2 linked regions of the Drosophila melanogaster genome follow. The protein of the gene in region 1 interacts with the protein of each later gene in a pairwise test. Each region holds a gene or a part of one and is shown on either strand. Other genes may lie near its edges.

Region 1 (8,353 bases):
CAGCGGGGAAGGGGCGTGGCAGGTGGACAGGCATCGGCGAGGGGAGTCGGGAAATAGGAGGCGTTGGCAGACAGTTGAAATTGCAAATTATGCTTATGGGAGGAACAGGGTGCCAAGGGGTAGGAGAAGGAGGAGCATTGAATCGGCGGCGGGGAGTCCACTGTCTGCGCTCTAATTATGCAAACTACCTGCTGTTACTCAATTAATCTTGATTACGTTTGTGTTATCCAAATACAATTATTTTGGTATTAATTACAGTGGCCAGGAGCCACCAACCACTGGCCACCCAGCCACTGGCCAAAATGGCAAGACCAGGCGGAGGACCACTTTTACGAGCGGAAATTGTCTGGGTCGCCGGGTAAAGCAATGTGGAGCACCGCCCCCACTCGCCAGATTGCCTTGGAAAATGCACACCACGCATTACGGCAAGTGTTTTAGTCCAATTTTTTCTCGGCATTTTAGGCAAAATTCGCATTTCCATTCTGATTCCACTGCCATTCGTATGCGATTCGCATTTGACGCGACTCTACCGACTTTTCCAAAGAAACACAAAATGTCGGCCGGTAGGTAGTCTAATTTCCTAATTAGCCCAGGGAATGTGAACTATTGGAATGCCAGTGTTTCACCCAAATTTTTTGGGGTGAGCCGCAGGGAGCGATGACCTTAATTAGCTGCCTGCGAGAATGAGACTTAAGTGCTCTGAAGTGGACTTATAGGGATAAGCCAATGAATAATTGTAATAGTGACCCACTGAACTGAAGTGGCTCCTCAGTTAATAAATTGAAAAGCATCAGCTTTAGGCCTAATTTGAGCCGAATATATTTCAAATACGTTCAAAACTAGCTGAATATTCATCAGTAATATATTGTAGTATGCGTGCGATGAACCTTGTTCTATAGAACTTTAAACTAAACTAGAGCCGGCGAGTGTTTGGATTTTTTAATTATTGTATTAAGTTAACATATGTAGAAGTTTTCTTATTCGGGGTGGTTGATAATATATTCGTAGACCAGGTGTGCACGATGCAGCGCCAGGCCCGTGATCACTCTCCTCACATCTTTGAGCTTCAACTTGGGTGCCCTACGGGAGCGGATCATGGTGGACACGACCACTGGTAGCCTGTTCCGGAGAGGGAGTGGTGATTGCATCATCATGAACGTTTTATGCACCACATTTTGCATCTGTAGGTTGATGACCTTCACGATCCGTGCCGCATAGTCCATACTCTGCTTTTGGGTTAGCGCTTCGGGATTATTGGGCGCTTTGGTCGCTTTGGGTACAACTGCCGCAGGCGGTGGATCTTCCTTCGAAACAGATTGACCCTCGAGGTTCTTTTCCTCGCCGGCAATGTCGACATCATTCGGGGTAGCCAATTCAGAGAGTGTGTCCTCACTGAGCAGCTCCTTCAAAGATAGTTTCTCCATATTCGCGAGTTCTTTGTTCATGTTCTCCATCCTTCTGGGTTTCGGCAGCAATCAATTTAGGGTTTTCCTCAGTATTCAATATTCCCAGAAGATTGAAAAGTTGGTTTTTTAATTTATTTCGCAATAGCTCACTTGAATCGTGTAGAAAGTAAAGGATAAAGTGAGAATCATTCAACGAATAGCTGATTAACTGGATCTAAAAGTCTGGGCATACTTAAATACCAATTAGTGTGCCCGCATGTGTAAAAAAAAATTCGAATAGGAACAGAGCTTTTGCAAAGAACACTTGACTGTACTCAATACAATGCTAAAATAATTTAAAAAAAACTATACACATTCTGTTATAAATAATATGCTCTATGATCATTTTTATTTCCAGTATTAAAAGTTAAGTAATTCGATTTTTCGAATCGAGTGTTTTATATAATAATCCACATATTTAATGTCAGCAGTAGTAAAATCACTCTTTTGATCATTTGCCTTAAAGTAACAAATATGTACTTGCTTTTCGATTTCTAGTACTAGTGTTGCACAATGACGTTAAAAGGTGTTACCAGGGTTTGAAACAAGTTGCGGTAAGTTAAGCCACTCAACGCCACGTGGCCATTATTATTTCATTTACTCATTGTAGATTGTTGAAAACTGTACAAGAAGTATAACCATTTCATACGCCTTAGGCTTCTAAAGAAAACTGTTTATTTTCCTTGCGTACATATGTTGTAAAGCCAATCATTTATAGAGTTTAAGATTATTATGGCATAACAAAGTTCAAGCTGGCAACTCTAATTTGTACCATTCAACAGATCAGAGATTGCAGTCATTTCGTACGTACACTTACAATGTTAATAGTGCAGCCATACCATTATAGTTGCGACTAATTCATTTTTCTAGATATGCAACTTTTTGAAATCCTCATTGGAAATCAAGAGTAAATGTCCACCCAGTAGCCCTCCATTATCCTTTTAATGCCTTCGTGTGGCCCGTCTGCCACGAGCTGCTCAATAATAAATACATGAATAGATAAACTAGGACGTGGATCGGGCAAGGACAAGGAGTCGCAACAGGACAGCATCTGGCAGCCTTGGCACGTTCGCCTTGTGCCCATAATATATTAAATACACGATAAGCACACACAAAAAAAAAAGGATGGAAAATATGTAGATATGGACTTGAGATTGCTGCTGCTGAAGTGGCAGAATGGCTGGCTCCTGCCTAGGACACCGGATTGTCGCTCTCGGGGATGACCAGCTCCTCCTCCCGGATCTTCTTGGGCAGCCGTTCCGCCACCTGCGCCCTTCCGGAGAGCTGGAACTGGTAGTTGAAGTAGTCGTACACGTACAGCTGCTTGCTGTGCACATAGTGAAAGGCCACCGGGTACTCCGACAGGCAGTCCATGCACTGCAAGAATACGAAGATAGTTTAGATAATAATCAAAAGAGGACAAGGAATGCGAATACGAAGGTGGAAAAACTATACGTTGAGGCTTGAATATCAAAGATAAAATGCCTCCTCACGCGGTTATAAGCCAGTGACGAACGCACCTTACCACCACCTTTCTGGTAACGAAGAATGATGATTACGTTCGACTAAATAATATGAGTGCTTGGCAAAATATGGCGTTGTCTTTGTGACACTTGAGTTTATTTTCTATTTTGCTGGATTGTTAAAAGGTACTGGATGGGTAAGCTGTGCATTCATTCATATATCTACATACATACAAACGTACTTTTAGTAGGGTGCTAAATGCATCCAAACTCACCGATCTCGGATTGTAGTAGGCGTACTTGTACAACCAAAAGTCCATGCCAACGTTGCCCGAGAGAAGGGCTCCATAAGGAGCTATGGGATAGAAGCGGTTGCGCAGCTGCTCGTCCCTGGAATCACCCGCCTTCACGCCCAGGTTGAACAGGCACTTGCCCATCTCGACGTCCTCGGCGTGATCGTCCTCCTGGCGACACTTGGTGGTGTCGTTGACGCCCTCGGCGAAGATCCTAAGAGCCTCGCGGCTCAGTACGTAGCCACTGCCGCCGGACATGTATGACTATTGAATCGGATTCATATTCAGTGAGTTTGTAATGTAATCCGAACCGGACAGAAGATAAACTCACCTCGTTCTTCTGGTGAGTGCCGACCATCTTGTAATTAAATCCAAAATAAATAGGTGTCTCCGGTGAATACGGGTAGAGCATGTAGCGCAGATTTTCCAAAAAGAGGTAGCTATTGATAGGAGCAGATTGAAAGTTCAGTCAAACTTTAATAATGCTATCTTTTCTTTATCGGTTCCTAATTATTCTTCATTCAACTGTTTTGGCTGTGGCCCTAACATTGAGATACCATCAGTAGTTACACCACAAAGGTAAAACAGAATGATAATAATGTTCAATAAATACATACATACATATATACATATGTACGTGTATCTGTGGTGACGAAAACAACCATCCATTCACTTATCAATTCCTGCAATAAAATGCCACTCTTTCCCTATTTAAGAATCTGAATCTTTCACATACGTGTCGTCGTCCGCCTTTATGAACCAATCCGCCTCGTGGCGCATCTGCTCGTGGATGTGGACAAAGGCCTCTTTGGTCTTGCCCCACAGCATCTCGTATCGGTCCGGCTTGGTCAGCACAACGGTGGGCAGCTCGTCATCCGGCTCAGAGGTCATGAAGTAGATCTTATTGCAGCGTTTGCCCCACGTTCGCAAAACGTGAATGGCCCGGGTCTTGTGGTATTTGGGTGTGGTGAGCACCCAGCACAGGACTCTCACCTCCCGATGCATCTTCTCGGCCAGGGTTTCGTTGCGCAGTCCAGGCTCCATGTAATCAACAGAGCTAGTGCCTCTGGACAGTGGCAGTGCGCCGGCGTTGAGCACCATTACATCCCAGTAGGCAAACAGCCCGATCACCGTGGTGCTCACCAGCAGAATGAGCAGGACCAGGCGATCGGTGGAGATGCGCTGGGCGGAGCGGTACATGCCATTCGCCAATCCGTTGGAACTGGAATGGAAGCCCGGATAAGTCGACGAGTTCTCCAGTATGATATATTCCCCGGCCATTGAAACACTGACTTGCGGCATCGTAAGCACTGTCTATACCAATCGAAAATGGTCTTATCGCCGGGAAAATGCGGCCCAGATTAGACAAGGTGGCTGGCAGAACTAATACTTATGTCGGGAACATCGACGAGCAGGTGCGCTCAATTAGTCTTATTACTAGGTTGAAAGAGAGAGAGAGAGAGAGAGGGAGGGAGAGGGAGTAACATGCACAGAACAGAGTTAAAATGAGTGAGTGAAAGTTGCACCAGAGCTGCGGAAATAGCAATACACTAATTGATATGGTTTCTAGGTGAATGGAAATCCTTATTTAAAAAAAAAAAACATATACTCGTACATGTGGCAAACAGTAGACAAAAATAAATAAACAATTAATGTAATTAATTGCGCGTATTTCCTGATCCACAATCATAAATATTATATTGATATATTATTGAGTAACAGTTAAGCTGCTTAGAGAGGTACCAAAAGCCACTATCTATTTAAAAACTCTAAAAACTTTAGTGGTCCAAACTAATTGCTTGCCAGCTTGGATTGTACTAAGAAATTTGTTTAAATTTCACTCAGCATAGTTCATTAATCAAAACACTTGGGACAAGCACACAGAGCAACAAGCACCTCGAAAGGAAAAATATAGAAATAATAAAAAAGTGAGTTCTAAAAGGGGGGGGGTTGGGTGAACGCAAAACCCGAAAACAGTTGAAGTTGAGAGAATCTTTCAATTAATCATGAGCGACATGTGGTCGTTGCTGGACGCTTTTCAGTGGCGTTGCCAAGATGGGGGGGGACTAAGGCGTGGGCGTGGCACACTGGCAAGGACCGCCAGCAGTGCGGGAAAAATAATATAGCGCATACGCCCTGTGGGGCACTCCAGCACTCCGACGCTCCGGCACTCGGATGCTCGCGTGCAAACAAATGGCTGCCATAATAGCGACGAGGCGGCATCCTGGTCGCATCCTGGTCGCATCCTGGACGCATCCTACACCCCGCGCCCCGTAACCATCCAATCCGCCTGCGCTGGCAAACAAATTCCCATTAATAAAATAAAATGCAGCCAGCGGCGGTGAGGAGTAGCGGCTAAGAATGAAAACTATTTGGCATTGTGGGCGTGTGACCCCGCTGCGATTTGCCACCAGCAAGCAGAAACCAGCTACCATTTCTACCATTGCCCATTGCCCAAACAAATACAAATTTTTCCAATAAAAGCGGCGGCTTTGCTCGCGCATTTTTTTCTCTTCGAATGTCAAAATTAGTTTTGGCCTGGGCAAACAGTTCAACATGAAATGCAAATAGGAGTGGGTGCCAAGTGGGCCTGATAAATGCCTTTGACCTTTCCGATGACGTGACCCACATGGGCTGTGGGTCCGCCCGACCATGGGCGTTGGCCAGCGGAGGAGACTCCATTACTTTCCCGGTACAATTTACTTTAAATGTATGTATGTAAGAACCACTTAACGCGTTCTTCCATTGTTTAATGTCGGTTCAACTATTTTGCCCTGCAACTTCGGTGGCAATTCAATTTAAAGGACAAAAGAAGCTGGATCCTGTCTCCTCTCTCCTGACCTATCCCATTTCCTAACTCTCCCCCCCCCCCCCTTTCAATCCCATCTTTTCGGCCGACACTGGCCCCACAATCAACAGTTCCTTTCCATCTGGTTCCCGCAGCCTCAATACAATAAAAACTCAGCCAAACAGGCAGTCCTGCGATGGTCGGTCGGTTGGTTGGTCAACTGCAAACTGGGCAAATCACAAAAATAAACCAAAGTCAAATGTATAACTGCAGATTTTTTGTAATAATGTTAGCTTTCGGATTTTACAAGCGCGCCAAGGCAAACGCCATTTGTCTCGCTGCCTGAATGTACTTCTCCCCGTCTCATTCGCTCCTTTCCATCTCTTTCTTTCGTTCTGTATGTAAATATGAGTGTGTGTGTGTGCATTGTTTGCCATGGAGATGACCGCGTGAAAAGATTCATCTTGAATAAATTGAAGTATTCAAACACAACTGAACTGAGCACATTTTTGAAAAAAGTCAAACTTAAGAAAAATGCATGAAAAATGATTGATAAGATAGGATATTTTGTGAAATCAATCTAAGATTCTATATAATCAAGATCGCTCATTCTCTCTCTCACTCCCACCACCACCACTACCAACCAATGCATGTGTCTGCGCCACACACATGCACACGTAAGCACACCGACGAACACACACACACACACACACACACACACGCAGTGAGACATCAAACGTGCAAACATTTGCCATATTTTTGTAATCAAAGTAAACAATCCACTTAACCCAACACGGACATGCAAAACGACCGGCAGCTGGCTGTCCTCCAGCCATCCCGCTCTGAACCTCAACTCATCTCACTTCCGCCACAGTGAAACGTCTTTCGCTATTTCGATTCGATTTTTTTTTTTTGTTGGATTTGGAGGCCAACGACACCAGTGCTGCACTCCACCCACTTAACCCACTCAATTGGATGGCTCTGCGAACCACACTCATATTTTGTACTATTTTGAAACTTAACTGAATAAATAAGAACTAATAAGCACTATTATTATTCATATTGTTTGCTGGAGAATTTAATAAATCCTTTTGCCAACTGCTCAAATAGTTTTTAAGTAAATATTACTACTTTAGACAAATATCATAAAATCATGTTAAACCTTATTTCATAGCATAATATATTTATATGTATAGATAGATTAGTTCCTGAAAACATACTTTCTCATAAAAAACGAATCGAATATATTAAATACCATTCACTCAATATAATTCCATATAATAATTTTTAAAATGATTTTTTTCTTGTGCATCCACTGCTCGTTCATATATCGCTGTCGGCATCCGTTTGTTGCTATTGTCACTACTGAATTCCAGCAGTTTTTTTTTGTTTTTTGGCCCCACATTCCACTGGGATGGAGCGAGGAGGAACCGACTCCTGGGCACGTGATGCCTTTCGATGTCTTGGCTCGTTTTTTATGCAAACAGCATTTGAATTTGAAATGAAAACGCTGACGGGCGCCGCCAATGCCAATGCACATGGAACTGGGGCTCGGATCCGGTGGCCGGGACTTGGGACCTGCGATCTGCGAATTTCCCTGGATCCGGGAGCTGGTCCTCCACCCTCCCGAAGTCCTTCGCTGCAGGGGGGAGGCCAATGCCATTGCATACTTGTGAGCACCGTGCGGTTACTTTTAGCTCACTGATATGACAACGGTCCATCCAAAACACACGTAAGGAAGTAGGGTGGCTCATATTGTTAGGCAGATTTGAAATGCGCTTTCCATAGCTAAACATTGTGCAATATCCATCAGTGGAAGTGTTATGCAGTATGTATGCAGCAATATATCTCATAAGCATAACCGCAATCATAAGGATTAGAATCGCACATATCGCAGCATACTTGTAAGCACTTCTTTTGCTAAAAGAGGTAATAATGGTCAAATATAACCAGCTTTTTAATTGATTTTCAATATCTTTTCTGTACGTTTTTGAGCGCTTCTTTGAATTGAGCCACCCTTCCGTGGGCGCATTGTGTCCATTGGCATTTTGCTGGCACAAACACAAGAGTCATGGCCGGCGGATGGGGTTTCCAAGGGGATTGGGCAAATAGTTTTTACTGCACACAAACACAAAACGCAATGACAAAAAAGGGTATAAAAAGCAGCGCCGCCAACTTTGTTATTACATTTTTATACCGGCCACACACACTCACACATGTGCAAACCCGTTTTTATTGGCATAAAGAAGCAAGTGGAACACCTGTTCCAAACTCCACCGACATCCCGCTGTCGCGGATTCATTTGCATTTGCATTATTTCCCTGTTTGCTCGGCAACCCTTTTGGCCATTTTTCTCCCTTTTTT
Region 2 (6,344 bases), on another chromosome or scaffold:
AGCGTTGTAGAAGAAAGCGATAGATAAACAAGCATATTGTACACGATTTATATTATTAATTAATTATATTTCGTTTAAAACATTAACCATATCGACCGCCCACGAGTTTAAAAATGCTGTCTTTTGTTTTTTGTCTGGCTTCTGGCTTTGGCCATGTTTTTCCCGATTTCGTACCCCCCATCCATCTCACTTTTCACATTATTTATACGTCTGTTGCTTTTGCCGCTCTTTCTGCGACGTTTTCAATTTGTTTTCGCCGCAAGTCGTTCAAGTTCAGGGCGATTCGTGTGGGTGGTTGGTAAAACCAGAGAAGAAACAAAGAAAAAGAGAAGAAAGCGAACAGGAAAATCTCTCCGTTTGATTAGCTAAGGTATTAAGCATACGCAGCGTGGGCCCAAAAGGCACTTACACTTTGACATTTAATCACGCGACGCTATCACGAGAAACCACTTTAAATGTCGTTCATATTGTTGGAGAATTTTCCATCGGTGTATAGAACACAAATTGGAATTTAGAAAAGCTAGAGCCATTAACGAAATAATTTATCAATTAAGATGCCAGCGAATCGCACATAATGATGTGACATATTCAGAGATCCCTTGGCCCACTGCCCTGTTGGCTATTTCCGTTGGAAATCTATCAAGCGTCTAAAAATATTCACATGAACAGTCGCCCAAAGCCAAACACAAAATGCATCGAAAGACTTTGTCTGTGTGTTTTTTGTATTCATTTATTTTTACCTTTTTTTTCGTAGGAATAAATTATTATTAGATTGATTTTTGGTTGTGCTTGCTTGCGCATTTTAACTAAATTTATCTATTTAAATATAAATTCTGTTTATGAACCCCTTTCACTCTGCGGCAGACAGGCGTTTGGTGGGGTAAATATTTTTAGCAACAAAACAGAGTAATAAAATGGGAGGCGTTAGACAGAAAAATAAATCTAGCCGCGGGGAGGAATATTTGGAAATTCGAAATGCCGCAAGGCAATCATTTGTTGCCAGGCCAACGGAGCTACACATTCCACAGTCAGCAAATCGATTGATCAGCTTTTCTTCTCTCTATCTACTTCAGCTCGTGCCGCCACTATCGAGCGTCAGAAGCAGCGTCGCGACAAGCTGGCCAATGCACTGAGGGACAACAAGAAGCGCCTGCTCGTCCTGGAGCAGGAGATCAACATCCTGACTGAGCCGGTGCCGGTGGGGGAATCTGAAAGACTGGATAGAGATATCAAGCAACTGACTGAGGACTGTAATCGGCTGCTTGACTGCTTAAATGGTAAGGATGATTGCAAAGTATATCGGTTTTTCTATGCTGACTCTGCCCCTCTTATATCCACAGAACCGCAGGCGAATGGCCCTGGTCCGGCGGCCAATCCCACGAACCGCCAGCACCTGTTACCAGCCAGCAATGCTTCACAGCAGCAGCCGCAGCAACAGCCACAGCCATTCCCGCGTCAGCGTCAAAGTGCTCGCGTCCAGGCGCCGCCCAGTTCACTACGTCTGCACTCGGTGCCGGCAGCACCCATCTCCCAGCCGGTGCAGGACTTTGGGCAGCACCACAGCAGTGCTCCCACCTCGGCCTGTTTAACGCCCCAGATGCAGAGTCAACAGCAACTGTTACAGCTGCAGCAGGAGCCGCCACCGACGTACGCCCAGTACTATCAGTTCCAGCAATATCTGCAGCAGCAGCGACAGCAGCAGTTACAACAGCAGATGCAGCAGCAACAGCAGCTACAACACCAGATGCAGCAGCAACAGCAGCCGCAGCCACAACAGGAGGAAGAATTCCTGTCCGACTCCGATGTGGATGAGGAGGAGGAGACGCTGGACTCGTGGGCCTGCAACATGTGTACATTCCGCAACCATCCACAGCTAAATATTTGTGAGGCCTGTGAGAACGTTAGGATCCAGCCGGGTATGATACGCATTGTTCCCAGTGGAGGCGGGGCCGCTGCTGCTGCTGCCACGCCACCCGGCAGCATTGAGCAGCAACAGCAGCCGTCCCAGCAGCCGTACGCTCTGCATACATAACCCAAAAAGCTGCACCAAACGATAACAAAGTTCTCTTATCGTGCATGAGCTAGCTCCTGACTGTTGTTCTTGCATGCTCGACTTTGAAACTGTGATAGCATTTAAACTAGTAGGCGGCAGGTTCATTATCCACTGCATGGCTCCACCTGAAAGACATGTGCGAAACGAAAACAACAGCGAACGGAAACGAATTGCTTAAGCGCGGCCTTTTTAAATTATTTTAACATATTCGATTTATGTATGTACATTAAATGCAATCGCCTCAGCCTCAGGCCGTTTAATTTAACAATATCCTCTAACCGTTAAACTAGCATTAAGCCAACGAGAAACAGAGTTTATTATTTTTAGCCCGCTCAAAAGTAAATAAAGAACGTTATTTAAATATTTACACAAGCTTCGCAAGTTGTTGCTTTACACGTTTTATTGGTAAAAAGCAAAAATACATGTGTCTGGGCTTTGGCCAAATGTTTACTTTTAGCCCCTGTTCTGAGCCGTGAGGACATACATATAACGCTATCGCCGGGCGAAAATCGTAAGTAGATAAATAAATAATTGCCCAACTGGATTAATTGATCATCTTCGATGTGCAGGTATTATACACTCCTGGATTCTATCATGACAGTCGGCCAAACGCTCACCATGAGAACATAGACAGCTCCAGCTCCAGAGATACATATCTGAATTCTGCAACTGAATTTCGCTTTAGTCTACGGTAACTTATCCTAAGGAATTGTAAAAAGATTTGAGGAACTATTCTATTTAGCAAAAATGCTGCTGGCAGCAATTAATTTATTATCGATACTAGATAAGAAAAGACTTTAAGCAACGTCGCATCAACTGAAACTAGATATTATTAATTGTAATGGAAAACCGTGTACATTTTGTAAATATTTATTTAACTGAACAGAAATGAGTTAGGATTTAGAAAGAAAAGGTCAACCGACAAGGGAACTTTTGTAAGCTTTTCAAAAGCCGCATATTTATCGACATTAAACTGCAGTTTAAGAGCGTCATTTGTGTTTTAATTTGGAGTTGGGGGCAGTTAGTATTTATCAACAGCGGTAAATTATTAACTATTTGCAATATACAGCAGGATTGATAATAATATTACTCCAAAACCATTTCTTTAATCTTCTTCATCAGATGGATCAGATTTATAATATCTGGTTCAAAATGCTTCTCTTCCACATCCAGATCGAGATTTAAGTTAGGTTCAAATACATTTTGTATTTCTAAAAACGCTTCCAGAGATTTGAAAACAAAGAGAATTGAAGATGCTAAACGATTTTTGGATAAGTTCTATACAATACAAAAATTCTCAAAAGCAGTAACAGTTATATAAAACAAGTAATACGACTAAAAACACTCCCCCAGAAACTTTTCGAAATTTAAAAAACTCTTTAAGTGATTTGGAAACCAACTGAATTTAATATGCCAAACGATGAATACTCCGGTACTCGGTGCTCTGAGGAAATATACCAGATTTGGACTGCGCAAGTCGCGGTGATGACGTCGTCGTGGGTGATCGGGAATGTGGGCACACTGCAGACTCTCGGTCCAAAGGGCGATTTACCAAACAATTTCGAAACTATGTGGAGGCACACGATCCAAAGTACCAGGTACCTGGCAGGAAACGCCTCGCTTTGCAGGCAAATAGCGACGCACAGTCCCAAACTGGGGGCGGAAAGCAATCGCAGCAAGGAAAAGGCAAGTGAGAATGAGTCCTTTATGGCCAACATCTTCCGTGGATCACTGGTGTCAAGCCAAGTGTTCCCGTATCCGGATGTCCTGACCGCGGAGCAGAAGGAGCTGACCAACAGCCTGATAGATCCGTTCGAGCGTTTCTTCTCCGATGTCAATGACGCTGCCCGCAACGATGCCAACTCTAAAATAGATGACACCACTTCGACGGCTCTGTGGGAGCTCGGGGCCTTCGGAATCCAAGTGCCATCTGAATTCGGTGGCCTCGGTCTGAACAATACCCAGTACGGCAGGCTGTGCGCCATTGTGGGTGTCAACGATCTGGGACTGGGCATCACGATTGGCGCCCATCAGAGTATTGGCTTCAAGGGAATACTGCTGTACGGCACCCCCGAGCAGAAGGAGAAGTACCTGCCCAAGGTGGCCGCCGAGCAGGTGTACGCTGCCTTTGCCCTTACGGAACCCAGCTCCGGATCTGATGCGGGTTCCATTCGATGCCGTGCCGTGAAGAGTGCCGATGGAAAGCACTACGTCCTTAATGGCTCAAAAATCTGGATTTCCAATGGCGGAATTGCCGAAATTATGACCGTTTTCGCACAGACCGAGCAGGTGGACCCGAAGACTGGCGAGAAGAAGGACAAGGTCACTGCCTTCATTGTGGAACGATCCTTCGGAGGTGTAACCAATGGACCACCGGAGAAGAAAATGGGCATCAAGGCATCGAACACGGCCGAAGTGTATTTCGAAGATGTAAAGATTCCAATTGAAAATGTGCTCGGCAAGGAAGGTGATGGATTCAAGGTTGCCATGAACATATTGAACAACGGTCGGTTTGGAATGGGCGCCACGCTATCGGGAACAATGAAGAAATGCATCGAACAGGCCACCGAGCATGCCAACAATCGAGTTCAGTTTGGTCAAAAACTAAAGAACTATGGATCCATCCAAGAGAAATTGGCTCAGATGAACATTCTGCAGTACGCCACGGAGTCGATGGCGTTTACTATTTCACAAAACATGGATGCCGGCAGCAAGGACTATCACTTGGAAGCCGCCATCTCGAAGATCTATGCTTCGGAGAGCGCGTGGTATGTTTGCGACGAGGCTATACAAATTCTGGGCGGCATGGGATACATGGTGGATAATGGATTGGAACGAGTCCTGCGTGACCTGCGCATTTTCCGCATATTCGAGGGCACCAATGACATTCTCCGGCTGTTCATTGCCCTGACTGGCATTCAATATGCGGGATCCCACCTTAAGGAACTGCAGCGCGCATTCAAGAATCCCTCGGCCAATTTGGGACTGATTTTCAAAGAGGCCTCCAGGCGGGCGGCCTCCACTGTCGGCTTGGGCGGCACCGATCTGAGTGGCCACGTAGTGGGTGAACTCTTGCCTTATGCCAAAAAAACGGCCCATTGTATTGATCTTTTTGGACAATCGGTGGAAGAACTATTGCTGCGATACAACAAAAACATAGTTAACGAACAAATTTTGCTAACACGACTGGCAAATGCAGCCATTGATATTTATGCAATGGTTGTGACGCAATCGCGATCATCCCGTGCAGTCAATCTGAATCTGCCAACTGCACAACACGAGCTCAACATGACCAAGGCACTCACTATTCAGGCATCTGATCGAGTGATTAAGAATCTACAGGCTGCCACATCCAGTCATCATAGGTCTCTCAATGAGAAGATTTCCACCATCGCCAAGACCACTTTGGAAAATGGCGGTGTGACTACGACTGGAATCTTGGATCAAAACTAGACCAATATACTTTTATACGAATTTTAAGCCCTTGATTGTTAACCTAGTATGAATGCCAATAAAGTCTTGTAAATAATAATCGCTGAAGTCTAAAGTTCACCTCGCTCTCACATACGAAATCTCTCTAAAGTGATTATGCACTATCATTGAACAAATGAGTAACAAATACTTGATCATCTATAAATGAACTCAGATAATAGAACTCTTGAAATCAAATCACCTCTATTCCTTTTACGTAGAAAAGCTCACAAATATAATTTAAAGCACTTACCATCTCGATCTGATTTTCAAAGCTGGACGGGCAATCTAATGAAATACAAAATAAATCGAACTTAATTTGGTTTTGTTGTTTTAATTTTGATCATATATTTGTAATTATGTAGTATAATAGTTGGTGTTTAAAAATTCGCTTTTCATATTACAACATTGTTTGTTTGCTGAAAACCTAAAAATCATCGTTGTTTACTTTTTAATTATTGTATTGTACGTTTTCAACAATATTTATCTGTTATTTTTTAGCTATCAAGCGCCTTGGTGTTTCAAAGTTTTGCCTTAAATGTAACAAGCAATATTCTTTTAATTGACTTTCAAAAATTGCACGAAAAATTTGGTAACATAATAATTGCAGCAAATATATTAGATAATAATTGGAAACGCCTTCGCTGAATATATAGATAATAGGATTAACAATTTCATACTTACGTTTATAATTATAGGATATATAGTAAAGCACAGAGAATTTCGCTTGTTAACTAAGATATTGACAAACATAACACATATATAATACTTTTTCGAGTGTAGAGAAGCTTAATAAAACAGCACTTTCTCTTTAGATATG

What was found.
Region 2: the proteins of tgy (region 1) and Acadvl interact in a two-hybrid assay, tested with the Drosophila melanogaster proteins (one large-scale study listed by BioGRID).

Annotation. Positions count from the first base shown.
Region 1 is NC_004354.4:19,122,823-19,131,175, forward strand, and holds tgy (twiggy), read right to left. Parts: upstream 4,495-8,353; 5' UTR 4,483-4,494; coding exon 3,938-4,482; intron 3,642-3,937; coding exon 3,533-3,641; intron 3,466-3,532; coding exon 3,184-3,465; intron 2,823-3,183; coding exon 2,637-2,822; 3' UTR 2,181-2,636; downstream 1-2,180. Other genes in the region: CG15882 (uncharacterized protein), read right to left, coding at 978-1,454.
Region 2 is NT_033778.4:19,301,602-19,307,945, forward strand, and holds Acadvl (Acyl-CoA dehydrogenase very long chain), read left to right. Parts: upstream 1-3,570; 5' UTR 3,571-3,622; coding exon 3,623-5,506; 3' UTR 5,507-5,844; downstream 5,845-6,344. Other genes in the region: Tab2 (TAK1-associated binding protein 2), read left to right, coding at 1,074-1,277, 1,341-2,032.